Linked DNA regions of Alligator mississippiensis. The protein of the gene in region 2 interacts with the protein of the main gene of each other region in a biochemical or structural test. Links are inferred from orthologs where the notes say so. Each region holds a gene or a part of one and is shown on either strand. Other genes may lie near its edges.

Region 1 (7,305 bases), on a different chromosome or scaffold from region 2:
TCAATACGGGTCCTCCATCGCGTTCCCCACAACAGGCGCCTCATCAATGGAGGTGCCCCCCACTAGCATGGCTTCCCCTCACACGTCACATCAACACGGCCCCCCACACGTGTGCAACACCAGTGCGGTCCTCCCCGCCCTGTATGCTGCCAGCATGGGCCCCCCGGCCTGTCACATGCAGCGGGCGGCTGTGGGGCGCGGCCGCCAGGATGCGGCTGAGTCTGGGGCGGAGCCATCCCACCTGCATCTGGCTGCTGCTGAAGGGCCCGTAGAGCTCCGCCCCCGCCGTGTTCTCCCACTTGTACTCCCACAGCACCTCGTCCAGCGCCGCCTCCGCCACGGCCACGGCCCCGCCCCCTGCGGGAGGAGGGCACAGCTCAGCCCCGCCCTCTCACAGGCAACGCCCCCTGCCCCGCCCCGCCCCGCCCCGCCAGGCTCACCAGACTCCTGGGTTCGAAGAGCCGCCTCATCCACCTCCTCAGCAAACATGTCGAGGGTGGGGCCAGTGGGCGTGGCCTGGGCAGAGGGCGGGGCCAAGGCCCGGAGGCGGAGGGCCAGGCGCTCCCGCGTCTCCTGGTAGACGCCGTAGTGGCCCCGTGCCACCATGAGGTCGGCCAATCCCGAGAGCCGCTCCAGCCGGCCCCGCCTCTCGACCTCCTCGGGCGGCTCTGGCTCCGGCTCTGGCTCCGGTGCTGGCTCCACCTCTGCCTGCCGGCCCCGCCCCCGCCCGCGGCCCCGCCCGCGGCCCCGCCCCCGCCCCCTGGGCCGGGCCCCGCCCCCGCCCAAGCGCTGGATGGCCCGAGCCACCGTCTCCCCCGGCCCCACCAGCTCCACCAGCCCCTCCAGCGCCGCCTGGGGGTCTGGGAGGGGCGGGGATTCCCGGCCGGGCTCCGTCCCCTCCGCTTCGGGGCTGCCCCCTCCCTGCTGGGACTGCCCCCGGCGGCGGGCGGGCAGCGGCTTGACAGTCACCTGCGGGGGAGGGGAGGGGAGGGTCAGGGCCCAGCGCAGCCCGCGACCTCCCTCCTACCTTCCCACCCCCTCTCCCCGGGCTCCCCATCTTCCATCCCAGTCTGTCCCAGTTCCTCCCGGTACCCTACAAAGCCCCCTCCTCCCACCCCAGTGTCTCCCAGTGTCCCTCTCCTCCCATCCCAGTTCTCCCCAATGCCTCCCAGTGCCGTTGCGTTGCCCCGCAGTGTCTCCCACTCCTATGCCAGGCCTCACCCAGTCGAGCGAGTCGAGCCAGGCGTCTGGGGGCCCGTCGTCGCCGCGGGGGAAGTAGTTGCCGGCGGCGTCGAAGTGGCCCTCGGCCAGCTCCTCCCGCAGGTTGAAGGGCGTGAAGCGCACCCCCTCCTCCTCCAGCACCGAGCCCGGCTCCTGGCCTGCGTGACGGGCGGCTTCAGGCTCCGCCCACCCGCCAGCCCACCCAATACCCCCACGTCTGTGATAGACAGCATCCAGCGCCGCTGGTAAGCCCCGCCCACAGGATAACCATCCCAGGCCCCGCCCACAGCCACGAAGACCCACCCACTGCACCTGCGGTCCTTAGTAAGGGGCCGCCAGACTAGGCTCCGCCCACCCACCGGTGACGGACAGCCTTCACAACAGGTCCCGCCCCCAGCTACCAAGAGGCGAGGAGCCTCTGGCTGCTGGTTGCGGCCTACCAGTGCAGGCCCCGCCCCCTGACCCCGCAAGCCCCGCCCCTTGACCCCCACTCACCCTCCACGTCCTCCGGGGCCAAGATCCCGCCCCCGGCAGCTTCTTCATCCTCGTCCTCCTCGTCGCTGTCCAATGAGTGCTTCCCCTTGAACCGGCTCCCGGGGCCGCCGGGCTCCGCCTCCTGCACCTATGTGCGGTTAAGGGGCGTGGTCATCGTCAAGCTCCGCCCCCTTCCTCCAGGACTTCACCCCACCTTGAGTACGAGGTGACGCAGCCCCAGGCTCCCAGAGCCCCCCCCCCCCCCCCGCACTCACCCCACGCTTCTTGGGCAGCCCCCCCAGGTCGTCGTCGTCGTCCGGGTCCTCGAACGTCACCTTCCGCTTGGACATGGCGGCCCAGAGCCCTGGGGGCAGGAATGGGGGTGAGGGGCGGCCCCAACCCCCTCCCCCGGGGGGGGGGGGGGGCAGTCCCTTGCTTCCCCCAGCCCTCTCCCTTCTTGGTCCTGTCCGCCCCACGCACAGGTCAGGGCGAACGCGAGGCTGCCGGGAAGCCTCCCCGCCAGGGGGTGCCCCGCCACCCGCTCAACCCAGCCCGGAGGGTGCCAGGGCCTCCAAAGACCCCCCGAGCCCCTAAATGCCCCGGAAACACCCCCAAAGGCCCCTCCCGCGCGCCGCCGCGCACATATGCAAATGAGCGCCCCCAACATTCCAAGCGCCCCCCCCCCACAAAGGAGCCCCGCGCACCCGGGACTCCGCACTCAGCCTGCACTTCCGGGTCGCCCAGCCCCTGACCCCGGAAGTGACCTCAAGCCTCGTCGTCGGACCAGCCCCCTGCTTTTTTCTTTTTTTCATTTCTCACCAGTGAATTTACTGTTTCAGGGATTTAAACAGATTTACTGTTCGAAAACACTAAAAAAAGCCCACAACTTATTTATGGGCGACTTCCGGGTGTGAATCCCCGGATGTGACGTCACACGCTCAGGCCGGCCTCTTTTTATTGGTTTCGTCACCCGCGTGAATTATCTTTACTTGCTGGGATTTAAACCCGGTCTTGGAGGGGTTCCTGCCCCCGGCCAAGTATATATTAAAGGGGGAATACGACTTTCGGGTGCGGGCCGGAACTGACGTCAAGCGAAATTCGCCCTGCCCCTTTTCTTTAATTCCGCCCCCCATTTCTTTTTTTTACCTTATTATTATTTCGAAATTTAAGTTTTTGATTTTTAGGAAGAGACTTGGAAAAAATATCGGGAGGAAGCAGCTTCCGGGTGCGGCCCCTCCCCCTTTTTCTATCCCGTTTTTTATTTCTTCAGTAGACGATTTATTCATTCGTATTTATTCAGTGGTGAGGGGCAAGGAGTGCGGCCGCTGCCAGGACAGGAAGTGACGTCGCTGCGCGTTTGCTTCTCTGGCTTCAATAGGAGGGGGAAGCGTGAGCAGGAATTAAAGGGGCCGCGGGCCTTTTCTTTGGAGGGCAACAAATGGAAGTGACATCAGGGCCTGGCAGTGGGCCCGGTGGAACAAGGGAGGGCGGCAGCGCGAGTAGCTCTTAAAGGGGCAGTGCAACCATTTCTCCATTCTCCCAGACCCCCCATCCCACACATACTGCCCTGCCACCCACCAATTACCCCAAAGTATCCACTCAAGACCTGCCCCTTGAGGGGGGAGGGGGGCCTGCAGACAGCGCCATTAGCATGTGCTGAGGGTGCCACCCCCCACCGCACAGGCTGCTATGCCCCGGGCCCTGCACATGCCTAGGGTTGGCTCTGCCTGTCCCCCCCCCAGTCCCCCAACCCCTCCCCATGGAGCGCAGACCCACAATCTCCAGCACCATCACCAGTAGGCTGCCAGAGCATCACCTCGTGGCCCCCCAGACTCAGTCCCCACCTTCTTAACCCCATACCCAAAGACCCCCGAACCAGAGCTGAATGAGCTCCTGCCCCCCCCGCAGAAAGACCCAGTGACTCTAGACCCCCCACCCCACAGGCCTCAAAGAGCCAACCACACTCAAGAGACTCACCCGCCCCCCAAGGAACTGCACTGTCCGCCACCCGATGCCCTTGAAGACTCAGCGTCTCCTGGCCAGGCCAACCTTGGGTCAGCCCAACCCCGGCCCACCAAACCCAACCGTGGTCACCCCAACTTTAGCACCAGGAACTCAGTGGCCAACACCACAGAAGCCCCAACACCCCTTCAAGCAGACCAGCCCCTCCCCCGCTCTGCAGGTGACCCCGCCCCCAATGCCTTTGAAGAACCAACATCTCCCCACCCAACATCCTTCAAGACCCCACATCCTCCACTCAACCCAACCGACATCCCCCCACCCCTCTCACACCGGATCGGTGTCTCTGCCCCCGCCCTGTGGAACAGAGACTGAATTCGCAGATTGGTTCTTTCATATCGTTTGTATTTTTTTCCTTGTTTTTTTGTTAACGAACCTTTTGAAACCCAAGCGACAGAACAAAAAGATAAACCAATGGATGGGAGAATAGGCACGAAAGGGGAGGGATGGGGGGGGCAGAAATAAAAATCAGAACATCTCCGAGGCGGGGGGAGAGGAAATAAAGGACGTATCATGTAAACATCGCGTGTCCTGATGTGCCTGCCTGGGGCACGGGGGCGGGGGTCAAATGATATTGGGGTCAAAGGGGGTGAGGTCAATGACTTCCAGTGTCTGTCCCTTTAAATTAAGTCATGGCGGAGTATACATAATTACAATATGGAGACATATATATAATATATGTGTAAAGACACGTATATACATGGGACGCAGGGGCACAGAACCCAGACATCTGGCCTCCCAGGCCCTGAGCTATCCCATCAGCCCCCACTCCCCTCTCACAGCTGTGACCATGCCAGGTGAGCTCCCAGAGCTGAGGGCAGGGTTTCCAGTTACGTTTTGGGGGAGGGGCAAGCTCCTCATTGGCCAGCAGCTAGGCCTCAATAAAGCCCACCCCCAACTTCCTGGGGAGGGCTGCTGTTGGGGAACAGGGAGTGTTGGGAAACTTCCCCGCCCAAACAAGGGGGACAGGGGGAATAAAGTCCTCAGCCAATGAGGGCACACCATCTGAGGCGCTCAGGAAGCGTACAGATGGACGCGCTGTCGGGAGGCGATAAAGTTCACCGTCCAATGAGGACGCACCGTCGGCGGGCAGCACGTTGACAGAGCGCCCCCGACGAGGAAGCCAGCGGGCATGCTGTCGGCGGGCAAGAACACTTGACGTTCAATCCGGAAGCGCAAGGCCGGACAAAACGTCTCGAGCCGGCCGCCCAATGAACCTCGCCCAGCGCCCTCTTGGGGAACAAGGGGGCCTAGTCCAGCCCGCCCGCTACGAGAATGGACAAACTTTATCGGGAGCCCAATCAGTGAACAGCAGGCTGCCCAGCCAGGCCCTGCCCCCTTCCTCAAGAACCAATGAACTTTATCGAGAGCCACATTGGCAGACAACAGGTTCAGGGACGGGGCAAATAAAACTTTATTGGTACCCCTGGGGGCCAATATCAGTGCAAAGGAGGAGCGTTCTGTCGCTAGGGATTGTGGGGAGGAGGTGGGATGAAACTGGTTAAATAGTTTAAGGAGGGAGGCGGGGCCTATTTACAAACAGGGGCGGGGCCTCATTGGGTTACTATTATTAATACAATTATCTCCTCGTTAAGACTGGGGCGGGGGTGGGGCAATGCCCCAGTAGCCCTTCGGGAAAGGGGGTGATGTACCTGGACCTCCGCCCCCCTCCCCATTGGTGGGGAGGAGGAGATGGCGGCCATCTTGGTTGATGAGGGAGCCATTTTGGATCAGATGGGACCCCCTCCTGGGGGAAAGAGAGGGAGGGAAGCCATCTTGGGTAAGCAGCAAGCCATCCCAGATGAAATGGAACCATTATTGGAGGCAGGGAAGCCATCTTGGGTAAGCAGGGAAGCCAGGATGGACAAGATGGGAGCCATATTGGCTGAGGGAACCCATGTTGAACTGGAGAACGGACGCCATCTTGGTTGAGTAGGAAAGCCATTCTGGATGAGATGGGAGCCATATTGGATGAGAGAAGCCATCTTGGATGAAATGAGAGCCACATTGGAGGAAGGAAACCATTCTGGATGAGATGGGAGCTGCCTTGGTTAATGAAGTCATTCTGGTTGAATCGGGAGCCATATTGGATGAGGGATGCCATCTCAGTTGAGTAGGGAAGCCAGGAGCCATATTGGATAAGGGAAGTTATCCTGGTTAACAAAACCATCCTGGATGAGATGGTAGCCATATTGAAGAAGAGAAGCCATCTCGACTGAGTAGGTAAGCCATCCTGGATGAGATAGAAGGCATCTTAAATGAGGGAAGCCATCTTGGTTAATGAGGCAGGAGCCCTATTGGATGAGGGAAGCCATCTTGGCTAAGAAGAGAAGCTGAGGAGCCATGTTAGCAGATGGACACCATCTTGGTTAATGAAGCCATCCTGGGCAAGATGGGAATGACCTTGGTTCAACGAGGAGTGAAAACGACTCATTTGGCATAGTGAGAAGCAAGGGGGTGAAAAACATTGGGGGATGGGTGGCCGCCAGGAGCTGAGGGACCCCAAAATGGTTTCCCATGAGTCTCCTCAGCCCCTGATCTCCCCAAAATTGGTCCGTCACCCCTCCTGCCCCTCCTGTATCCCCGGGGGGCAGGGGAAGAGTTCAGAAGTAAGTGTCCTGCAGCGTGGATCCACCTGCCCCGGGCTCCCCGTCCTCCGGGACCACGCCCCCAGATTTCGGGGGCTCCCGGCGACGGAAGGAAGTCTTCTTCTCTTTCTTTTCCTTCTTCTCTCTCTTTTTCTCTTCCTTCTCCCGCTCTTTCTCCCTTTTCTTCTCCTGCTTCAGCCGGGCTTTCTCCTCCTTCTCGCGCTTCTTTTTGTCCTCGGGGCCCACCCCTTTTGTGTCCCGCTGGGGGGGCCCTGCCCCCTTGTGGGGGCCCCCGAGGGGGGCGTTGTTGCCTGTTGGGGAAGGTAAGGCCGGGTGCAGCCCCTCTGAGACCACCTGGCCTGAGGCGGCCGGGGGTGCGGCAGCAGCAGCCAGGGGTGCCAAGGTGGGGCGAGGTGGCTGGGGGCGGGGCTTGAAAGCCAGGCCAAGGAGGCCAGGGCTGGCGCCAGGGGGCGGGTGGAGGCGGTGGCGCTCCTCATGGATGGCGCGTGAGCCGTGCAGGCGCCGGGAGGGCTTGTGCTGAAGCTCGCCCCGCGTCTCCCGCCACTTCTTGAGCTGGGCCCCACTCTCCCGCTCGATCAGGGCCTCTGTCACCGGCAGGCTCACCACCTGGGGGGGAGGGAGGGATCATGGGGGGTCCTAAGGGCATCTGAGCAGCCCCCAGTGCCCCCTTTTGTCCCCTAGCAACCCCTGTCATCCCAGCATCCCCTAACACTCCCCAGAGCCCCAGTACCCCTTAGTAAACCCCTGTATGCCAGCATCCCTTATGAGTCCCTGTAGCAACCCCTTCTGTCCCAGCATCCCCTAGCAACACCCTCCACAACCGCTACTACCCCTTAGCAAACCACTGTATTCCAGCATCCCCAAGCAAATCCCCTCCATCCCCTAGCAGCTCCCCCACATCCCAGACTCCCTTAGCTACTTCCTGTATCCCCTAGCAACCCTTCCACATCCCAGCATCCCCTAGCAACACCACCCACAGCCC
Region 2 (7,950 bases):
AGGGAGGGAGGGAGCGTTCCTTTAAGCCTGGAGGGGAAGGGGGGAGTCTGACGTGCTTTGGGGGACTTACAAAAAAGTCCCCAGCGTCTCTGGTGGGGTTGTCTTTGCACACCAGTGGGTGGGGGGAGGAGGCTGGGAGCAGGGGGTGCAGCCACCTGAGCAGCATGGCCAAATCCTGGATTCACCCCGATCGATCTTCCTCTTTCTTGCCTGGGGACCCTAGCAAGATCAGAAGCTGTGGTGAGGGTGAATATGTGACGCTGTGCGAGATCACCCAGTGGTCACTGCACACACCACCACCTTTGCTTTGCTCTTTTAAGAAAGCCTGGAACAAGGCAAAAATATTTGCCAAATCACTGAACGTGGCATCTGCAAAACTACTAGCACCGAGGACCATCTTCTCCCTACGGCGCCTACTGATGTCTCAGGTTTAGAAGGTATGCGTGGGGAGGGTGGGAGGCGGCACTGCCACAGTATTGGCAACATCAAATAAATCATCCTCTACAACTCCGCTGAGGAATTACAGCAAGGGTGAATACGTCCTCTTGCAAAGCAGAGACTGGCCCCACAGCCCCCCCGCAGCAGACATCCAGTCTTACGTGACATTTTCCTCCCCCTAAAACAATGTTAGCAATCATGGGGGGGGAAAAATTAGATGCCATGCTGCAACTTGTGTAGTCTGCAGTGACCACTAACTGCAGGTGGGTGAAAACTGCCCCGGACACAATTTCCAAATGTGCCACTAACTCCCTCGCTCTGCCCCATGGAGACCCCGCAGGAAATCGTTCTGGAATACATGGTGCGGAAGAAGTCAGTTTGCCCCCGTCCGAGGCCAGGAATACAAACCTGTCCTCTCCGTAACTGCGTTATTGCAGAAGGCAATGCAAGGCAGTGCTAAGGTGATCCAACCGCACATCTTTAAACTCTCCCACCTTTGAATTTCTTTTCAGCATGTGCCCTGAATTTCCCAGGTTACTGATCGGGGAACAAGATGCAACATCCCTGTCATGTTTTATACCTTTAAGTTACTGCTCCATGTCTCAGCTGTGACATAAGGTTTTCTCTTGAATACGCAACAATAACCAGTGGATGTTGCCCAAGGTGCTGCAGTATCCACTCTGCCAGATTAAAGCAGGAAGCGATATATTTTAAAGCAGATTTAGATGCTATTTGCAAGCTTCCCAATTTCTCCTCGGAGACTTCCTGGCAGGCAGACAGCTTGAGTTCAGATTGAGTCCAAAGTCCAGGAGGCTTTTAAAAATAAATAGCTTTGCATTCCCAGCTTCTCCGAGCAATTCACAACGGTTAACTAAGCCTCTCCATAACACTGGCCCTCTGTGCCATACCCACGTTATAGGTAATCTGGGGCATGCCTTGCCTAATATCGCTCACCAAGTCCAGGCTCCAGAGCAACATCAGGAGGCCCCTGCTTAAACCGTCAGATCTCACTGCCTTCCCAAACAATGTCATGCCCTCTTCGAAGCCAAAGATAGAGTTAAAGGCATCTTACAATGGGCACTAACATGGGGTAATGAGGTGGATGAACAAACCAGCCGACCGAGGGCTCATCGGATGACTGCAGAAGGCAGGATGAAGCCCCACGCAGAGAAGTATTTTCCAAGAGAGAAGGTAAATTGGTGCAATGTTAGGGCAAAATCTCTGCTACATCTGTCAACCTCAGACCTGGATTCGATGGCTCCGAAGGTCCCCTGAAGTCCCGGGTTCCTCGTGGAACACCAGGAGCTCCCTGCCGAAAGACCGTGGCACGAGCTTAATTCATCCCATAAAATACTGGCAGCCACTAGCACCGCTCCTGCCACGGGAGCAGAGACACAATGAAAAGTAACCCGCCCTGGGCCCGTTCAAGGAAATAACAACCAAGATGCAATGACTTGGGAATGCTAGCAAGCCCCTTGTGTCGCCTAGCCTCCTGTGTCACAGCAGCAGAGAGCGGATGCTGAAAAGGAGAGTGAACGGGGATGCTTTTTTCCACCGCTCCTCTCGCTTGCAGCCTCCAGCACTCAAGCTCCAGGAAGCCCTGATTCAGAAGCCTCACTCCCAGGCTCTGTGGCTGCTGATTCACCTTCCCTCCACGAACGCCTCTGGTCCCGTTTTGAATCTGGCTGAACTGCCCTGGTTAGCGTAGAGACGCAGCGCTGAATTAATCACTGCTTATGGGGCGCTCCGAGATTCGTGCGAAAAGTAAAACCAGGGGTTATCAATTGTCACTGCTCTGCACCACGAAAAACTCCAGAGCAGGGCCAGGGGTTACTGTAGAGGCTACTGGATACAAAGTAGTTTCCCTTTGTATTTAAAGGATTTCCTTTCCACTGCCAGCTTTTAGGAAGTGGCACCTGGTAGGAGCCCAAACTTCGGCTCCCTTTGAACGGACGCTTGCTGCGGACGACACCCACCCACCCAGGCTGCTCTGGAGCTCTTCCCCTTCCCGCAAACTCTGCCCCTCATCTCGCTCGCTCCTCCCGCGCTGCAACAGGCTGCGCCGGCCCCGGGCCTGCGGTCCTGCCAGGGCGTCTCGGGCGTCGCCTGGGCGGCCTCGCCGATCTGGATGGACTTACGGGTCCCTTGTGCACCGGCCGGCTCCCCGGGACGCGGGCCCGCGCCTTGGGCACCGTGCGCTGCCGCTGGAACGACGTCCAGAGGAAAGGGACGGATGCTGCAAGAGGAGAAAGGGGAGTCAGCCGGGGGGTACCTGGGGGCTTTGGAGGAAAGCTCGTTTTCTGGTTTCCATCCAGAAGAGCTTTTGTTCCTGGCTCTCCGCGCACCCCTGCGTGACACCCACCCCGCGCTGTCCCCCCAGGGGCCCCTGCTCCGCGCGGCAGCCGCCCAGGGCCCTGGGGGCAGCTCTGCCCTGCCCTGCCCTGCGCCGCCACCCTCCTCCGCAGCGCTCCTACCTGCAGCCGCGGCCGGGCAGCCGGGCGGCGCGCCCACGGAAGAGCCCCGCTTCCTCCCCGCCGCGCCGGGCCGGGCCGGGCCGGGCCGGGCCGGGCGTGTCCGCCGCACGTCGGCCCGCCCCCGGCCCGCCCAGCACGGCCCGGCGCGCTCCTGCTCTCTCTATTGCCCGCGCGCACACTTTTTCTATTGCACACACGTACACACAGACGCACAAATTGCCTGCATGCACACTATTGTGCACACTCACACGCTATTGCCTACACACGCACTTTTTCTATTGCGCACATGCACACACAAATTGCCTGCATGCACACTATTACACACACATACACTATTGTGCACACTCGCACCCTATTGTCTACACACACACACACCTTTCCTATTGCGCACATGCACACACAAATTGCCTGAATGCACAGTATTACACACACACTATTGTGCATACTCACACACTATTGCCTACACACATTTTCTATTGCGCGTATGCACACACACGTTGCCTGCATGCACACTATTACACACACATACACTATTGTGCACACTCGCACCCTATTGTCTACACACACACCCCTTTTCTATTGCGCACATGCACACACAAATTGCCTGCATGCACAGTATTACACACACACTATTGTGCATACTTACACACTATTGCCTACACACATTTTCTATTGCGCGCATGCACACACACGTTGCCTGCATGCACACTATTACACACACATATTGTGCACTCGCACCCTATTGCCTACTTTTTCTATTGCACACGCAAATTGCCTGCATGCACGCTATTACACATACATACACTATTGTGCACACTCACACCCTATTGCCTACACTTTTCTATTGTGCACACACACAGATTGCCTGCATACACACACATACACTATTGTGCACACTCGTACCCTGTTGCCTACACTTTTTCTATTGCGCACATGCACACACAAATTGCCTGCATGCACACTATTACACACACACAAACTATTGTGCACTCACACACTTGCCTACACACATGCACACACTTTCTGTAGTGCCCATACACACACATGCACACACACTATTCCATGTGTACACACTGTTTCAGTCTCTCATCTGTGCGCACACACTCGATTACCCCCGCACACACCCACTCTATTCCTACACGTGTCTACACACCATCTCAGTCTCTCATCCACACACACACTTTATTGCACAATTACCCAGCCAAGCGTACCATAAAACGTAGACCAGCTACACTTGCAACTGATCTCTCCCACCTTAAAACACTCCAATCAGGTATAAAGTTATTGCTGGAAAACCTTTATTTCCACCCCCCATTCAAGGTGCACGTGTAGACAGAGGTGGGTGGGGAGACCCCAGCTGCTGCCACCTCCAGGGCGCTGGGAGATGGCAGCCAATGTGATCTCCCAGCCACAGGGATGTGGAGGTGCTCCACGCACCCGCATGCTGCCCCCAGGGTGCAGCTGGGACCCCAAATCCCTGCAGCTGAGGGAGCTCGGTCCCAGCTGCACCACATCAGACAGCTCTCCTGGCAGCCTCCACTCCCCAAATCCAACTGCTACTGTCGTAAGAGCCAGGAGGAGCAAGGCAAACTCATCTCTGTTCTTAATCCTGCCCTTACCCAGTCTCTTACTCATTGCCTTTTCTTCTACCCCCTCAGGCCTCCGTCTTTCCCTGCTTGAGACAGGCTTATAGAGACAAATCCCCACCTGCAAACTCTTTCTGCAGCAGGTTTCTCTGAAGACACAGAATAAAACCAAGGACCCATCTCTGTGCTGACAGACTGATGTAGATAAGCACGAATTTTCTCCAGATGCTCAGCTAAGATGCGCTCTTAATGGCAACCCCTTCTTCCTGCGTTGCGTTCCCACGAGTCTGCCCACGTCTGTAGAGCAACACGGCAACAACCAACACCCCACTAGCAGTCTTAGCACTTCTCTGGCTTTGGGCTTTATGCCCTTTAAATCAGTGTGGAGTTGTAAGGCTGGGTCTCCACTCCCAAACTATGCCCACTTCTGCCAGGCGAGGACGTAGACCACCTTGCAGATGGAGAAAGGCTGGAGCAGCCCCAATCCTAGCCTGCTGTCAATAGGACTAGCAAGTAAGGCCAGCAGGATTTGACCCCACAGGGGGCAAGCTGGTTGGAAGAGCTGTCTTATTTCACTTATACAGCACTGGCCCATGCCAACGCATTTCTGCATTGGCAGAAAGTGCCCTGCTCACCCACGCTGGTAATCCAGTATCATCGTGGACACGGTGCTCTCCGATTGAAGGTAGTTCAGTGTTCGGTTGTCCCTTTTGTGAGCTCAGCACGACTTTCTGCTCTTGGAAACCCGCTGGGGAAGACTGGATACCAGGGGGACAGACAGCACGCGGTCTCAAGGAGACAGGCTGCTGCTACTATAGCACAACAGGGGCATTTTGTTCTAGGAGCAGGAGCGCTTGACCCATCTACAACGTTCAATTCTGTTGACAATGGCCCAAATTCAGACTGCGTGAAGGGCAAGGAGGGGATAACCAGCAAGTCAGAGCCTAAGGAAGTCAGGGGAAGGTCTTAGGGAGCACAACAGCCTCAGTAAAGGACATAAAGCTTATCTCAAGGCAGCATTTGGCCTGATAATAGGACAAACTCCAATATCTTCTAATACAAAGGGAGCCACACTTACCTTTGGGAGTGAAATCAGATTTCCCCCCCGTACTTTTTTACTGGGCAAGATGTTAAATGTCACACCTATAATCTGTACCACAAAGTTAACCATTTTTATTAAAACTTGAAAAGCTAACATTACAAAAAAGATACCCAATATTCTATATTATATACATGAGGTTTAAAACTTAGCATTTCCATGTACCTTCAGCTATAAAAATACATTAGAATAACTGTAACCTAGTTTATATATTTATATATATATTTAAAAGTAGCATTTCATATAAAAAGCATTACTGTGCAATGGAAGAATATATACCCACTCGTGGGTCATTTTAAAAGTTAGTATTTACTGTTATTAGATATATAATTTAGAAAATTCAGTGTGTCAAGCCAAACCCTGATTTATACAATAAGAGAATACATTACTAAGTCATTTATTTTAAGTTGATAGGAAAAAAGGAGGAAAGATGAAATGTATATATTTATATATATACACACACACGTATTTTATATATATATGTATAAAAACCATACTAAAAAGAATATGGTGACATCTGAAAACATACAATTTCATTAAGATGTTTGTCAAACGAAGAAATACAGAAAGCTACATTGATTACTAATCTTCTTGCCTGACTTGATCACATACTTGCCTTGTGTCTAGTTCTAGCTTTGGATGCTAAAAGCCCATTCACTAAGCAGTGGTGAAAATGATTTCTGAGGGAGCGCTCAGGCTTCCTTGCTACACATTGCAAAAAACAGAAGACTATTTACAGTTTTCCCATTTGGACTTTCGGGGAGGAAGGAGGAAGTCTCTCTGTTTCAGGGAGAAAGATTCATCTGTGGATATCCTGCCTCACAGGAGAAAAGATGCTCCCTAGCATACAGCTACTGGGGATAGGTCATTGATAAGAAGTTAAAGTGTGAAAGCCTCATTTCTTTCAAGGCTTGCTGGCTCTTAAGGAAGGTCAGGTCCAAGTAAACCGGTCTCCCAGCATAGCAGCGTGGGAGTAATTCTTAATTACGTTGGAGGACACGTATAGTTTCTTGCTCTGGCCTTGCACTGCCATAGCGAGCCTGCATTTCCATTTCAAGACCCTAGTATTTGACACTTGCTATTTAGCCACCTGCAGGACTCCCACCGACACCTCGGGGTCCTCCTCATCAGTGCTGCGTGGAAGCCAGCGGGGCTCTGACAGTGTGTGGGTGCAGTGGTTGCCCATCAGACTTTCCTTACCTTCACTCTTAGTCAACGGTTCTCTGGGAAGCCTCTCCAGAATAGGCAGTTCAATCAGAGCATCCCCTGCCCCCTAACCAAAGTCCCATCTTGGGCAGTGCTATCCAGTTTGGGGCCTCTGGAAGTAAGCTCACACCACTGGCAACTTCCCTTCTCACCCTGGGCTTTCAGACAAGGTGCATCTCAATCAGGTTCTTCAATAGTATCCTCCAACTCAGACCCTGGAGGACCAAGCCATGGAGCTACCAAAGGATCAGGTCCTCTCTCTCTCAAAAACATACTGGGAGTTAAACATGAGAGTCCCAGCCTGGGAGCAGTTTCTCTCTCATTGTGTATTTTGAAGAGTCTAGTTTAAGCTACATTCATTGGGGGTATGGGGAGGGCAGGGGAAGGGGAGCTTTCTAATTTTGTTCAACCTCAAAAACAGATCTGGTTGAACAAAATGAACCTCGCGCATGGGAATCCAAAGGACAGCGAAAGAAGCACAAGGCAAACTAGGCTGCCTTTCCATCTTTCCTCTCCTCCGAGAAGATTTCAGCTCCAGTTTCCATTTTCCCCTCAGTGGTGACGTCACTACGGTAGATGCAGTGCAAAATCCTCTTGTGAAAAGTGCCGAAGTAATGACTTGTGATCTGAGCGACTCTGGAGCCAGGTGGATTATGGAGTCAATGACTTGTACTCTCAGCGCCTGCAGAGTGCGTGCACCAAGAGACAGGCAGCAAAGAACACGTGGATCTTAAGCCTGTGAAATCCTGGCCCCGTGGAAGTGTGTAAGAAAACTCCAACTGATGTCACTCAGGGCCAGGCTTCCACCTGCCTCAAGGTTGCATGTGCATGAGAGAAAGCAAAGGTAACTCTTCTGATAAAAGTGCTTCAAAACTCCCATGCACACACAGCCACGCTCCCCCCGACAGCAGGAGATGGGCTATCGTCTTCGCACCTGACAGACTCCTTTGACTTCAGTGGCATTGCTCCCACTACCAGCAGGAGCAATGCCAATTGAGTCAATGGAGCTGTGTTCATTTACTCCAAGTAAGGCCCACATACGTCAATGCAGGAACAGTCCACGTGAACAAAGCCCAAGGTCTTTCAAACATGATCTGGGCAAGTAATATTGCTTTCAAGGGCACCGTTTGATAAAAGCCGACTCCCT
Region 3 (7,621 bases), on a different chromosome or scaffold from region 2:
TTAAAAATGGTTTCAGAGCTGAGAGATCAATTCGTCTCTTAGTAACAAAACAGGAAAGATGTTCAAAGGTCAGAAAATAATTCCTAACTTAAAGTCTGGCAGGAGCAGGAGGAAGAAACTATTTACAATCCTCAGTGCATCTACAAAAAGGATATTCCAGCATGAATATTTTACCCAGGAGAAATTTGCACGCTCATCAGAAAAATGCCAAACATCTTCTGGTGTCAGGGATGTATTTGATGCTTTTGCAGGCAAATGGCTTTTGGACAAGTTTAGAAAGATTAGAGTAAGAGCTTTCAAAAGACAGCTTTCAGCAAGGTTGCTTTATGCCTTGTTACTTGCACAGAGGTCAGATGCAAAGGACACATTCGTGTAAAACTTGACTCTGGCAAGTTGTTTTTTTTTTTCCCTTTCCGAAAGGAAAAAAAAAAGCTGGAATGAGAACCATCTGAGGGGCAAGCCTATGTTTTATTCATGCTGTTTTTTTCTAGTTGCAGCAATGCAAATACTGCATAAATCAGGGTCAGCATTAATTTAGTTACATTGTTAGCAGAAATAAACCACAGGTAAGTCCCTAGGCCCCAAGTTTAATTAAGATACCATAATATATGGTGATTGCCAAGTCATTGACCTGAATACACTGAATTTTAAGCTGCAGTTACAAAAAGCTAAACCTCTAAGAAAAGCTAGCACAAATAGGAAAGTGCTCAAAGTGATCTAATTAGTATTTTGTCCCCAATACAAGAAAAAAGGCCAGTACCAGAACTGTTTAAGTATGAAAACTTTCTTCCTGAACTAGAACTAAACACCAAAGATTTATTTTTCAAGTAGCTTCCTGCCCTTTCTTCTTCCTTATTGTTCCCTAGATGTTAGTACAATAACCCCTTGACTGGAACTTTACAGAATAAGCCGTAACAGCTATATAAAAAACTTGCCATTCAACTAGCCCTTTGAAAATATTTTACAAGTGTTATACTCTGTGACAAAACGATGGCAGTATTGTTTGAAATGGAGTAGCAAATACTGACGCAAGACAAAATTGGAACTTACATTTTAGCTGTTTTCAGTTACTGATCACAACCTGAAAAATTATCCTTTTTGGCTGAATTTTCCATGCTTGGACCAAAGCCAACAGTAATTAAAAGTTATAAGAAGATCTAATTTGCCTTTGAATAATAAGTCAGCAACAAAAAACACTTTCCACTTTATTTTTTGTTTTGGGGTAGGGAATTAGAAACCCCTTCGCCCACATGATCAAAACAATCCAGTTTGGAGAACTGAAACTTTCTTTAGTGGCTAGCCACCAAAAGTTATAAAGGAAAAAAAGAGAGAGAGAGAAAATTACATATGAATGGCTAAGTATCTGAGGCACTAGAAAACTATAGAACAGAGTAAATGAAAAAACAGCTACAGCTTGGGAACTTCTTCTCTGTGAAAAAAAGGAGACCTAACACTAAATAAGGCAGCAAGGTACTACTGAAACCCCACTTAGCAGCAGCAACAATGTGCATAAACTCACCCTGCAGCTATAGAAATATAATCACAAAAGTGTTCAGATTAGCATTTTAACCTTCTCTTCAAAAGAGAAAAAAAAGAAACATGGATGTTAATACAAGACTACAAGAGTTAAAGCTCCATGAGCTCTATTAACTCCTGCACATTAAATATAGGCAACCTTACTACTGTTGCAAAAAGTGCAGTATTTTGTATCAAACAAGTGCATTTCAAAGCAGATACACGTGTGACTCAAAAGGAAACTGCAGACAATAGCAGTGCTAATCTTCACCGGGCATTCCAGGCAAATTAGTTCCTAGAGTCAAGTTATTGTACAGTCAAATCAAGAAGGTATTTCTGCATCTGACCTCTGGCAAGTAACAAGGCACGAAGCAGCCTTGCTGACAGTCGTCTTAGGATATATATTGCCCTGGTTGTTAGATCAGCAGATAACCAAGCGTCTCTTCTCAGTCCTCCCCATTATACCAGACTTTTAAGATTAATTTGATAGCGTTCCTACTTGATAGGACAGACATCAAGGCACAGACTTGGTGAACAGCTGAAACAGTTGGCACAAAAAGCAGTGTATTTTGTTGCCAGGCCAGGACCTTGGATGTTTTCATAGCGAGCTACATTTTTATGCATCTCTCGTACCCAACTCCATCCCCACAACTCTGCAGCTGCCCCTAGGCAGGGTCGGACTGTGAAATAAACTCCCTCCAGAGGTGGTGGTGCAGTCACCTACCCTGAAGGTTTTCATGACAGTCACCTTGCTAGGGTCACCTAACCCTAGTTGTCTTACTGGGTGGGGAGGGGGGGGGTCTGGGCTGGATGATCTGCGAGGTCCCTAACAGGCTATGTATGAATCCAGCCCTCCCTGGAGCCGGAACAGAAAAGCTGGGGTAGAAATAAAGCGTTTCAGTCGTATTTTAACTCTTCACAGGAGCAGGGAGAGCCAGGCTCTCGCTGGCCGCCGGCAGCAGATGGCAGACCGCTCCGGCCCAGCCAACGAGCCCCTCCACCAGCGCCGGCAGGAGCCCACCCGGCCCGGCCCCCGCCCCGGCCCAACGGACGCGGGGCGATCGCTCCCTGGCCGGTCACCCCCCGGCCCAGCCCAGCCCGAGGCGGGCCGTGACCCCGAGGTGGGGCAGGGCGGGGCAGCCCCCCGCGCGCACACAAGCCGGGGCGGGGGCGGGCCGGGCGCGGCCGCTCTCACCCTCGGCGATGACTCGCTTGATCCGCAGCTTCATGTCCCCCAGCTCCACCGTCTGCCCCACGAAGTCGTTCTGGTCGCGGCTGGCGGCGCCCAGGGAGCCGGGCCCCGTCAGAAAGTCCAAGGCAGACTGCAGCAGCGACATGGTCGCGCCGCGCCGCGCCGCGCCGGGGAGCGGGGCTAGCGCCGGGCTGCTGCCGCCGCCTCTTCCGCGAACCTCCAACCGCACTGATCCCTGCCGGCCACCGTAGCTAGTCAGCCACTTCCGGGAGGCTGACGTCATTTATGACCTCACTGCACCTCCCGGCAGCTATGCCCCACCCTGGGCACGAGGGGCTGGAGCGCGGGTTGGGCCGAGGCCGGCGCCGCTGCTGCCCCGGGGTCCCGCCCGCGCATTGGGGGCGGGGCGCCTGCATCTCCTGCCCGCCCCCGGGAGGTCTGGCCTTGCCGGTGCCCGCGCTCCCACCCGCAGCCATGGCCGAACCCACCCAGGGAAGGGGCTATAGGCTGGAGCTGCCCCTGACGCTCCTGCCCGCCTCCTTGGCCGCAGTAGGAATTTGCTCCGAAGAATGAGTTCAGAAATCAGTCCCCGCCGCAGACCGCACCCGGGAGATCCTGTCACGCTGCGGGGGCCCAGGTGGCAGGTTTCCAGCCTCGTTACGTGCAGGCAGAGCCCGCGCGTGCCAGCCGCGACAGTAAGTGCAGCGGGATACAAAACTGGGTCTCGGAGCGAGGTGAGCTCAAGGGCTCGATCGTGGGGGGCCGGAGACTGCAGCGCTGGGCCCCCAGGCCCAATCCTCCAGCACACGGTTCAGTCCTACCTGCAGGTGGGCCCTGCGAGGCTCAGCTGGCCCGTGGGGCCAAAAGCTGAGCACCACTGCTCTAGACGCTTGAGCGAGCTGGACTTGCCAAAGCCCCACAGCAGCATCTCGTTTATTTGATTTATTTTCTGACAACTGAGCCAACGTACCTTTCGTTGCAGAAAGCACTTCTCTTTCTTCCTCTGTACACACTTTTGTTACGTTGGGTAACATCCACACAAATGTGGATTTTTCCATTAGGTTTCAGTACTGGTCTGCAAGTTGATGAGTTTGGGAAATGACTCCCATCTTCTCAATCCTCTTTAATTCTTCCTTGACTTCTTTTTTGCAAACAAATGGGGATGCGTGCAGGAGCTGTCAGAATAAACAGAGTCAGTGATGGTGCCAGTGTCTGTTTGCCTGACTGCCTCACACAAACCTATGAAAATACAGATATTGTATGGTTTGTCTGTTGCTGTTAATCAAGGTCAAATTTCTGGAGTAGGCAGAGACCTTGTATTTCTGGCAACTCCAGTAGGTGAAGTGTTAAGCCTCGTATCACATCGTAGGTTGTGGCAGTTTTCTCTCATTTTTCCAATATCCCTTTCAACTAGCCAGAAACTTCTAATGTAGCATTATTTACCCCAGCTCCTCTGTGGGGGCTTCTTGTACTAGCATCCATCTAGTGTTATTACTGCTAGTCCTCTGTAGTAGTGGGAGCAGAGGACCACAACTCTATGACTAGGGGCCTAATGAACTTGAGGCAGGTGTTGGCCAATTTTGTGTGCAGATCGCGGCAGCCATTTTGGCCAAGCACAGCAAGCCCCTGATGGAACAACAGCCACAGTGGCCCTAGCCCTCACTGTTGATTGTCTGTGAGGGTGGTCCATCATGTGGCCCCTCCCCTTGCCATTGAACAGCTGCGAGGCCTGTCCATCATGCCACCCTTCCCCCTTGTGGATTGCTGGCGGTGGTGAGGCTGAATGATGCACAGCCCTGGCAGCCAATCAGCGGTGAAGGGCGGGGATGACAGCCATCTTGCCCTGCAGCTGTCCTTCTTCCCTTCCCTCCCCACAGTGGGCTGCACAGCCCAACCACAGCAGCCATGAGGACGGCTGGCTCCCCAGAAAGAGACAGCATTTTATTCTTGGTAAGTTTTTTGTTTTTGGGGAGCCTGCCAAAAGCCCAGAGCCTGGCTGAAATCATAGTTTCCAGGAGAATTGCAAAACTGTGATTTCAGTAGGTCACTACCTATGATCACTCCACATGGCTCAGTGAGATGGCTGCCCTCTGAAAGGGAGTGGGCACTGACTTCTAACCTGAGCCTTTATTCACAACTAGCCAATTGCCCATCAAGAATGATGGGCGGGGGTGTGGGTGGGGACAGTGGCCTGCATCTGGCTACCCCCCTGCACCTTCAGGGCCGGGCCTGCTCCCCCTTTCCCCCACTCCGCCATGGGGCCAGGCCTGCCCCACCCACCCTTCCCGCCACCATTGCGGGGCTGGGCCTGCTCCCACCACCCAACCTCCCTGCCACTGTTTCAGCGCCGGGCCTGACCCCCCACCAGCCCTTTGTCCATATTCCCCTCCGTACCACGTGCCCCTTCCCCCATGTGGGGGGAAATGGTGCACAGTCCAGGGAGAAACACGGAGAAGGGGCACACTGTGTGGGCGGAACATCGGTGAAAGGACCTGTGGTGTGGGGGGAACACAGGTGGAGAGGCATGCTGTGCATTGGAGAGGCGTGCACCATGTGTGGGTGAAGGGACACATGGAGTGAGGAGAGTGCAGGGAAAGGACATGGGAAAAGGAGCACTCCACATGTCCCTTCCCTGTGCCCGCCAAACTGCATCCTTTCTCCCATATTCTGCCCTCCACCCTTTCCCTGTGCTCCCCCTACACCACAAGTTCCTTCCCCATGCTTTCCCATGCACCCCCTGCTTGCCACATGAGCCACTTTGGCTCCTTCCAGCGCCATAGTAGCTGCTTGGCTAGCCTATACTTTAATATACTATGAGAGGTTATTTCCCCCATGCTGAAGAGGAGGAAAGACCTCATCTTATTTGAATAAATATGGTATCCCTATGTAGTCTATAATTAAAATTGCCCCCAACTTTTTTTTTATAAGATTTCATTGCAGTTGCTTAGAGGGTGGGCAGATAAGAACAGGATGGGTTTCAACACTGACAAGTGCAAGGTACTGCACCTAGGGAGGAAGAACCAGCAGCATACCTACAGGCTGGGGAACTCCCTTCTCATCAGTGCAGAGGCAGAAAAGAATCTTGGAGTTATTATTGATGCCAAAATGAACATGGGCCGACAGTGTGGGGATGTGGTCAGGAAGGCTAACCGTACCTTGTCATGCATCCACAGATACATCTCAAGCAGGTCCAAGGAGGTGATCCTCCCCCTCTAAGCGGCACTGGTCAGGCCGCAGTTGGAGTACTGCATCCAGTTCTGGGTGCCACACTTCAGAAGGGATGTGGACAGCATTGAGAGGGTCCAGAGGAGGACCACCCGCATGGTCAGGGGGCAGTAGGGCAGGCCCTACTAGGAGAGGCTAAGGGACCTGAACCTAGTGGCTGTTTACAAACTAGTCAGAGGGGACCAGCAGGCATTGGGGGAGTCCCTGTTCCCCCGAGCACTACCAGGAGTGACTAGAAATAACGGTCACAAGCTGCAGAGGGTAGATTCAGACGAGACATCAGGAGACGCTACTTCACAGTCAGGGCGGCTAGGATCTGGAACCAACTTCCAAGAGAAGTGGTGCTGGCTCCTACCCTGGGGGACTTTAAGAGGAGGCTAGATGAACACCTTTCTGGCGTCGTTTGACCCCAGTACTCTTTCCTGCCATGGCAGGGGGTCGGACTTGATGATCTGTCAAGGTCCCTTCCAACCCTACAACCTATGAAACCATGTATGAAAATGTGAATGCCAGATGTCTGCTTCAAGGCAGTTTTTCTTTCAGCCAGAGGTGTAATCCTTTTTAAAATAACAGGAAAATGGACTGTTTCATGCATAGTAAAAAAATGTTTTCTGGAAAAAATCTGTAATCTCTGTGCTTTGGACCAGGGATTTGAAATTTGTCAGACCAGCTTGGTAGCCTTTGCATGAGGAATTATTCATATTTGGCAAAGGAAAACGAGTTCACCCATTAGAGGTGCACCAATACTGATGTACACCCGATAGGTCCGATATCAGATCCTCACCGATATAAAGAAAACCAGAGAATTGCCCATCAAGAATGACAGATGAATTTCGATTAACGAAAACAAACAGATTTGACTTTTTATATTATATAAATTAAATATTTATAAAACTTAAATAAAGTAGGCTGAGCATTTGAAGATACCAATCCCTTCCTGCACTTGCTCTTGTCCAGCGGGCTGGAGGCAGATCTGTCCATGCTGCCATCCAGCTGCCACCTGCATGCCTCTTTGCTGGGCAAGGGCAGGCGAGCTCCGTGCCTCGCAACAGCTGCCCACGCCCCAGGGCTTCCTCTGCGCTGCCCTCAGGCACCTCCTTCCCTGCTCAGGGCTTGGGACAGGACTGTGACTGCTCACCCACTGCCTCACACCTCTGCCCAGCTCACACTTTTCCTCAACTGGCCCCTCCCTCGGCCCCTCCCACCGTGCTGGGTTCGCCCCGGGTGCCTCCTTTCCTGCTCAGGGTTCAGGATGGGGCTGCTACTGCTGGCCTACTGCCTCATGCCTCTGCCCAGTTCCCAGTTTTCTTCAGCTGCCCCTACCTCTGCCCTCCCCATCATGCTGGGCTCCCAGCACCCTTCTGGGAGGAGCTGAATAGAAACAGCCTTGGCCCCTGACTTTTTCCCCAATTCTGGAAGTTGGGATCATCCTGACATGGTTGCTAAACAAATGCTAGGATTTAGTAAAGAAACTTCTCTGAAGACACAAATGTTCTCTCTCTTACAGTTTTCAAGCTATTCACTCCTAAAGAGTGTTATGGACAGATGAACATACGAACTATCCCCCTTTACATATAGAGAATTGGCTGTATCAGAAATCGGCCTGATGAGGCCAGTAATTTGGCAGATAAATTCCCATGCACGTATGCAGCCACAGCGCAGCATGAGGGCAGTGAGGAGCAGAGCCCA
Region 4 (7,535 bases), on a different chromosome or scaffold from region 2:
AGTAAATTCTGCTTGCCGCTTCACGGTGGAGTCACATGCACCCCTGGTTCACTTTGGTACTTGTGAAACCCTGCAATGTCACACAAATGTTAACGGCTCCTCACTGTGGGTCAGACAGAACCCAAATTCACCCTCATTTATTATGTGACCTGTAGATAAATAAAATTCACAGTAACATGAATTCCCTGTAGGCCTTGGACCCGTTACATTTATAGTGTTATAATTGCCCCTGTAGCATCACATTTGCACCATCTGTAGTGCCACAAAAAATGTTCCCGTTTCAAGCAAGAACTTCTACAAAGCACTAAATTTTGCAGCACTGCACATAACATGTGGCCAGTTACTAGGCCTGTGCAAAGCAGCAAGTATTCAATTCAGATTTGGCTGATTCAAGGGGCAGTGATTGGATTTGGTGATTCGAATCACTGTCCCGATTTGACTGGGCCGATTCAGATTTGGAGATTCGGCTGCCGAAACGGCTACCGAAGCTTCAGACAGCACTAACAGATAGGGATATGTTCCCAGGTGGGGAGGGAGAGAGTGAGGCTGGAACTAGGGAAGGGCTGGGGGGAGGGATGCCATTCCCAGGGCTGCACCGTGCTCTGCTTGTCCCCCTGTGCCTGGGCTCCACCTATCCCCAACTTCCTGTGGCGTGCTGTGATGCAGGCAGCTGGTGTTGGCTGCTCCCAGGGCCACTGCAGCAGGGGCTGGGGGGAGTGGCAGCAAGCGGAGCCCAGGGCAACACAGGGCACAGCACAACTTGTCTGCACTCACCCTAGCCCCCACTGCAGTGGCCCTGGGAGTGACCGGTGCCAGCTGCAATGGGAATTGTTGGGGGGTGAGGGGGCGGAGGCTTCTGTGTTGTGCTGAGACAGCTTACAGAATCAGTTTGCAGCATGTCACCTATGGCTAGGACACACAATATCCACAGCATTACCCTATTCTCTAGAAAATCTCAGCTGTAACAACCATACTATACATGTGGTTATACCAGTTAAGGGTAGTGAAGCATTTCCATAGGGAGCATATTTCATAAGAACCTACCAAAGCCAGATAATTAAATCTGGTAGAAAAGATTTCTTAAAGACAGCTTACTGTAATGCAAGGCGTGAGAACAAACAGAACCTGGAATCTCAATTAGGTTCTAAACTTAGTACACAAACACGCTCTTAAGACAAGTCCCTCCCTAGCTTCACTGAGGAGCTGCTTCTACTGTGAAATAGCTGGACATGCAGCCTTCTGAAGGGCTCCAGGGCCTGCCCTGCAGTGAAAAAGTTCTGCAAAAGCAAAGCAACTGAAGATGTGTGAAGGACTGGTAGGAAGGGGGTGCATCGTTGGATAGGCAGACATATTTTCATGGGTTTCATTTTAATTTCTCCTGATGGATAGCTGTTTTAAAACTGAAATATGGGTCACCGAAGACCCGGGAGCTAAACCGTTAAATATTCTTAGGAACACATTCATTTTTTCCTTAAACAGCTTGTGCTTTTATAGGACTATAATAAAAGAAATTTAAAAATTCAAATAAAACCATCCCATGGTCAAGTCAAGCAAGCTGAGTGCGAAGGCAAACATGTTGCTGTATATGCAAGTGTGGCACACATTTCTATAGTTACTATATCTGTGTGCTAAGCAAGCTGAAGGCTAATGTTAGTATCAAAGAGAACTCAACAGGAATAGCTGTGAATCAGACAATGAGTAGAAAAGTAGCTATGTAACAAAATTATCCACAAAACAGACTTCTCATGACAATTTCCATGCCATTTAAAAGGACATTTGCTGGAACATTTCATAGGGATTCTGTATTCTGTAAAACAGTCCATAGGGGGAAACTGATTACAAACAAGAGGCTGTCAAATACATAAACAAACATTTTCTGTGAACTTTTCAGTTAAAACTTTTAACCCACACATCTTGCACTGTTGTGCCAGCTGAAGAAGTCCTCCTCTTTCTGTTGACAGCATTAAAAATGGAAGCTGTTTCATGCTTAGTGACTGCACAAAGAAAAGATTGTGGATACAGTGTATACTGCTGGGCAACTTATGCATATGCATAGAGCCTAGGACAAGCGGGGTAGGGCCCTCAGACATTACTCATTACAAATAAAGCAAACACGGAAAAGAGCAAGATGTACTCACCGTTTGGTTATCCTCATACAGCTTCAAGTCATACCCACTCAGCTCCACGCAGAAAATTATTGCTGTAACCCCCTCAAAACAGTGGATCCATTTTTTGCGCTCAGACCTCTGCCCACCCACATCCACCATTTTGAAAGTCAGCTCTTTGAAGGTAAACTTATTTTCCACAATCCCTGTGGTCATGTCCCGAGAGCGCAGAATATCTTCCACTGTAGGAATATAGTCCAGGGCTGCAATCCTTTCTAGGTCATTCAAGTAGTATGCAGCATTATCCTCTAGGTGGTACTCATTGGAGCGACAGAAACACTCCTGTACACCAGGGTCTGCCCAGAGCCGTTTCATGACCCCTAGAAGCTCAGGAGTAATTTCTCCTTTGCTTTCAGCTGGGCCTGTCAGGGCAAAAAGCTGCACAGCATCATAGGCTCTGTCTGGATTGTGGAACTCTATCTTAAGGGTGGCTAGAGCACGAATGATACGCGTTAGAGAGTCAATTGCATTATAGATAATCAGAGGTTTATACTCCTTGCAAGCCTCCAAGTTAAAGCCGCCACTGTGAATGATTTTCATTTGCTTGACAATAGTACTTTTGCCAGAGTTGCTAGTACCCAGGAGTAAGAGCTTGATCTCTCGTCGCTGTCGTTGGCTTTCAGAGCGCAGGTGGCGGTCAATCCTCCGGGACCGCCTCGCTGCCTCTTTCTCCTCAGAGCTTTGCCTACATCCCATGGTACAGCTGACTATTGCAGAAGAGGAGGACTAAAGAGTCTCTCTCTTTCCTTCTCTGTCTCTGAACAAGAACTGCAGTATCTTTCAATTCTCGTGCCAGGTGCACCCTGTAGAAAAAAAAAACCCACTATCCAATAAGTGATGGCCCAAGAGGCCTATACCAACTAGTTCAGTCCCAGAAGGGGTGCAAAAACAGGTACAAATGCAACCACAGAGATAGTCTCCTTAGTAGATCTCATGGCACTCCCCTTTCCTGTGGCACATTCCTATTAATGAAAGGACACTTCCCTTTTCCACAGTGTGGCCGGATCAGTTAAATAGCCTTTTCTTTTCTGCATAATTATTTTGATTCTTTCTGTCCAAAGGTAAGGAGCTGCAGTTTCATCTGTTCTGCTTTAGCCCCACTTGTCTTTTAATTGTATTTTCCGGTTGCTGTGGTGATGTTGCTAGATAGAGCTGAAGCTCTGGTACAGTCTGGTGCTGTGTTTGTTTTGTTTCTCCCCCACTTCTTTCGGTTGATTCAGTTCAGATCTGTGAATCTGTGCTCTCCACCTGTCAAGCAGAGACAGAAGAAATTAATGAAATTGGGGGGCGGGAGGGGGAGAAGAAGAGGGGAGGGGACTATGTTTCCTTGTTGCAAACCATTCACTTTTTGTTTGCTTCTGGCATTTCTGAACCTTTTATCATCCCAAACAGACAACCCAGATGGAAAATGTGTAAAGAGAAGCAATAAAAATCTTGAAACAGCAAAAATTCAGGGACAGCTGAAGTCTGAAGACCTTACAAAATGTGTGCCCTGAACAATAGTAAATCAAATTCCCTTTTCTTTCCAGCCTTCTGTGTTTTATTATCTAAACCTACATGCAAACAAATAGTGCTGAGCTGTGTCCCAATTTCTCCCTCAGCAAGAGCTGATGGCAGCCCTTTCCTGAACAGCCCTGTTCTGACCGGTTTTCCCAAAGTGGAGAATGTGAGATAGATTTACAGCTATTTTACCCAGTCTTGGTATTTATATTTCTATCAGTTTCTGGCAGTCAGATTTGTGTACACAAATGTCCTCCTAAGACTTCCCTCCCTCCCCCATCTTTTCTGTCCATTTTGCGTTGGAACATTTAGCTTTTGCAAATAAATGATGAAACAAAAGGAAGGGATTAGGTTTGCCTCCAGGTTTTGTGAAAGGGTTTATATATGACAGGATACAATTATTGATCTTTGCAGGAATCCTTGCTTCCCCTTAGAGTACAATTGTCTTGTTGCATCCTGCTTAATCAATGGAGTGATGCACTAGTCAAACAAAATCTTTAAGGGATTTGCTTCCCATAGCTATCACATTTATTTGTTTATTCCCCTTGCTTCCAGTTTCACTGCAGTAAAACTGATGTGCCATTAATATATGGCAGGCATTTCATACACTACACACGTGAAAAATATCCAATAGCAATCCTCCTATGGGAGTTCTTACTGACCAGGTCGTGTCCTGCTAAATGTGATACTCAGAAAATAGGTTCAGGGGAACACTTTTAAAGGTGAAGAAGCCATTGTTTTTCAATGAAAATAACATTCTTATATGACATTTTCAAAAGTCTCTTAAGCATGTTAGGTGATTTTAAAAATTTTATCCTGAATTAATTTGCTAGAGTTTCCATATAAACAGGACAAGACACTACAAAATGTATTAAAGAGAACACAGTCCAGCAGTGGCCGTGGGATGCTCAGGGCCTGCTGCGGCCAGAGCCCCACCATGGCACAGCGTGGCCCTGGCTGCCTCAGAGCCAGTGCTGCCTGTGCTGCCTCTTGTGGGCCTGGCCCAGCGGGGCCTGGTTCAGGGCTGTGTGCCTTTGGGCAGCTCCAGGCTGCTTGGGCCGTCATCTGGGGTCCGGTGCCATTTGCAGGAACCGCACGTTGCGCCGGGCCACATCCTGCCTCTATGGAATCAGCCCGGCCTGGCTGTGTGTGGGGCCCGTGGAGGCAGGTCACGGCCTGGCATGACACGTGGTCCCTGTGAGCGGGGCAGGGCCCCAGGTTCCAGCCCAAGTAGCCCAGAGCTGCCCGAAGGCACACAGCCCTGTGCCATGCCGTGTTGAGCCAGGCTGGACCCGCAACAAACAGCATGGGCGGTGCTGGCTCCAAGGCAATCGGGGCTGCGCTGCGCCATGGTGGGGGGCGGCTCTGGCTGCAGCAAGCCCCGAGTGCCCCACAGACACTGCTGCTGCAGGGGAGAGCTGTGGCTGCTGCAGGCTCCTGTGGCTCCCATGGGGGGGGCTTTGGGCCGTCTGTGAGCAAAAGGGGCAGGGACAGCTCTGATTTTCTATGACAACCCCCACCCCCTGCCAAATAAATGCCAAAACATTTAGTTAGAATTTATTTGATGATGATGATAGAGGCACTGGCTTCCAAATTGTTTTAAACTTGTATATATCAATAAAACACTGCTCAACTGATCCCTCTCTACATAGTGGTGTTTCATTTTAATAGTGGAAGAACACTATTTTGGGTATTTTAATGACAGAATTGGGGTTTTTTATCAGAGGATTTGCAATTTTTTAACAGAGAACACCAGGATCTCTGCTGGTGAGACAAGTTGTGAGACCCATGCAGAGGAGCCTATCCAGAGCCAACACTGGGGATCCAGCTGGAGGGCAGACGAGGTGGCTGACCTCTTGCCATTTGGGGGCAAGAGGAGACACTTTGACAGTTCAAAGCAGGCAACCACAAGAAGTACATCTTCTGGGGGATACCTGCCCAGATGGCAGAGCAGGGGCACCCCATCTGGGTCTGGCAGGCATGCAGCCATGGGGTCACAGGTCCATGGGGGGTGGATGCTGTCACAGGTGGCAGCAGGTCACAGCCAGGCAGCAGCCCCCTGCTGCCAGACTGCTGCAGTAGGTAGAGGGTGCAGGGGCCACTCTAGGTTAGGGCTGTTTCAGCAGTCCAGCTGACACAAGGGGCTAGTGTCCCCAAATACCAACTGGCTGCACCGCAGAACCCCCTGAGCTGCTCATCAGCTTTTTATACTGCCGGGGCCAGCACCGGTGGCCCCAGGCTCTAGCTCCCCCTGGCAGCAGGTCCAGGAGGAGCTGGACAGGGTTTTTTTGCCTCAAGTGGCACAACCTGCCCACACCAAAGTGCATGTCCAGGCACATGCGCCGAGGCAAAAATCCCCAGCAAATTTGTACCACTCTTATCTGAGCTGCTGCAAGCTCACGTGCCTGCATGTGTGGACACACCCACTAGAGGCATACAGAATGTGCATACAAAAGTGAAGAGTGGCAACAAAAGTTTTTACTAGCACCCAGTCAAATTCAACAGATGACAGACAATTGCATCCTTTTTCCTGAGGCTGTACTTGCTTTTGCCGCCTTTGTATGCATCTTTACATCCATGCTTGACCCAGACTGCTGAAAGGAGATGGAAGACCGAATAAGTGTGGACACTAAAAACCCAGTGCCCTCAGGAAGTTTACAAAGAGTCTTTATGGCAGCAGTTCTCAAACTTGTAGACTCAAGGCACCCCATGTTAGACTCAGGGCATCCCTTGGAAAATGCCAACTCTTATTTTTTATGCTTTTTTTGAGTATAGGAAATTAATAACTCTGTATTTCTAGCTGAAATATATGGGTTTATCCTGTGAATCACATAGTGTTAACATCGTGCGACACCCTGGTTAAAATCACTGTTTTATGGGTTAGGGTTAGCATTAACAGCAGAACTACATTGAGGAGTGTGTCCACTCATCTACCCCGAGTAAGTAATATCCTGCACTTGTTTCAAAACTCTGACTACAAAAGGCATGAAGGAAAATGGTAGAGACCCATACTGAACAGGTTCCTGCCTCACATTCCCAGTCCAGTGTTAGAAAGCACATTTCTAAACTAGCTACTTATTCACCTGCTCTGCGGAGGATATCCATAACACTGTCTTCATAGCTTCCTTGTTGCTATTTAAAAAAATGCCCGTTTTCTTTTGCTTAATTGCTGTGCTCTAGCACCTGCTCACATGCTGCTTCCACACCTCCAGATGTGTTGGATAATTGTATTATTGCAGGCTCCTCTGTTAACTAGCTCAAGATGAAACTTGTCACCCACTGTCTTCTTTCTCCATCCCTAAGTAACACTTCCACATGGTAAGAAAATGGAAGTGTGAACAGAAATGAGGCAGAGTACGAAAGGCAGGGTTTTAAACCTGGATGTAATGTGACAGCTTTCTGAAAGTAGCCATTTCATTTATTGATGTATTATTTAACCAAAAATTTTAACTAGTGTTTTGCTTGGCTCAGTCTTACAAAGGTGATATAATCCCAGAGAATTAATTTGGAGTATACTGTGCTGCAAAGACACTAACAGAAGGCCTTAAGTTCACAGTGCTTCTCTACTCACTATCTAGTCTGCTGAAAGAGTGCTAACACCGCTGTTGCTACTTACCTTGCTCTCCTTTACTCCCTCTCTCAGCAATTGGATACGGCCTTGGCACATACTAAACTCATTATGTACAAATGATCAGGACCAAATGAAAATGATACGGCTTGTATTAATAGAGCAGTAATTAGCATAACCATGTTTATTCTGGCAAATTCAAACACACGACTGTAGAAAAAAACCTTCACTGAAATGTATATTATACTATACATTCGTCACAGAAATAGTTTTGCCCGGTGGTATATGAGACAGGACTGATG

The links.
Region 1: the proteins of LRRK1 (region 2) and CD2BP2 form a complex in vitro, tested with the Homo sapiens proteins (2 studies listed by BioGRID and IntAct, with this or other methods). The link is inferred for Alligator mississippiensis from reciprocal best matches to the Homo sapiens genes LRRK1 and CD2BP2.
Region 3: the proteins of LRRK1 (region 2) and GAK form a complex in vitro, tested with the Homo sapiens proteins (2 studies listed by BioGRID and IntAct, with this or other methods). The link is inferred for Alligator mississippiensis from reciprocal best matches to the Homo sapiens genes LRRK1 and GAK.
Region 4: the proteins of LRRK1 (region 2) and GNAZ form a complex in vitro, tested with the Homo sapiens proteins (2 studies listed by BioGRID and IntAct, with this or other methods). The link is inferred for Alligator mississippiensis from reciprocal best matches to the Homo sapiens genes LRRK1 and GNAZ.

The regions. Positions count from the first base shown.
Region 1 is NC_081830.1:657,831-665,135, forward strand, and holds the start of CD2BP2 (CD2 antigen cytoplasmic tail-binding protein 2), read right to left. Parts: upstream 3,022-7,305; 5' UTR 2,842-3,021; intron 2,756-2,841; exon of another isoform or gene 2,515-2,755; intron 2,496-2,514; exon of another isoform or gene 2,400-2,495; intron 2,289-2,399; exon of another isoform or gene 2,176-2,288; intron 2,060-2,175; 5' UTR 2,046-2,059; coding exon 1,971-2,045; intron 1,844-1,970; coding exon 1,717-1,843; intron 1,380-1,716; coding exon 1,222-1,379; intron 970-1,221; coding exon 441-969; intron 358-440; coding exon 242-357; intron 1-241. Other genes in the region: TBC1D10B (TBC1 domain family member 10B), read right to left, coding at 6,318-6,929. UniProt on the Homo sapiens protein: Involved in pre-mRNA splicing as component of the U5 snRNP complex that is involved in spliceosome assembly.
Region 2 is NC_081834.1:7,133,148-7,141,097, forward strand, and holds the start of LRRK1 (leucine-rich repeat serine/threonine-protein kinase 1), read right to left. Parts: upstream 3,013-7,950; 5' UTR 2,913-3,012; intron 2,675-2,912; 5' UTR 2,577-2,674; intron 1-2,576.
Region 3 is NC_081826.1:153,692,414-153,700,034, reverse strand, and holds the start of GAK (cyclin-G-associated kinase), read right to left. Parts: upstream 3,006-7,621; 5' UTR 2,991-3,005; coding exon 2,711-2,990; intron 1-2,710. UniProt on the Homo sapiens protein: Associates with cyclin G and CDK5. Seems to act as an auxilin homolog that is involved in the uncoating of clathrin-coated vesicles by Hsc70 in non-neuronal cells. Expression oscillates slightly during the cell cycle, peaking at G1.
Region 4 is NC_081833.1:19,939,217-19,946,751, forward strand, and holds the start of GNAZ (guanine nucleotide-binding protein G(z) subunit alpha), read right to left. Parts: upstream 3,001-7,535; 5' UTR 2,862-3,000; coding exon 2,139-2,861; intron 1-2,138. UniProt on the Homo sapiens protein: Guanine nucleotide-binding proteins (G proteins) are involved as modulators or transducers in various transmembrane signaling systems.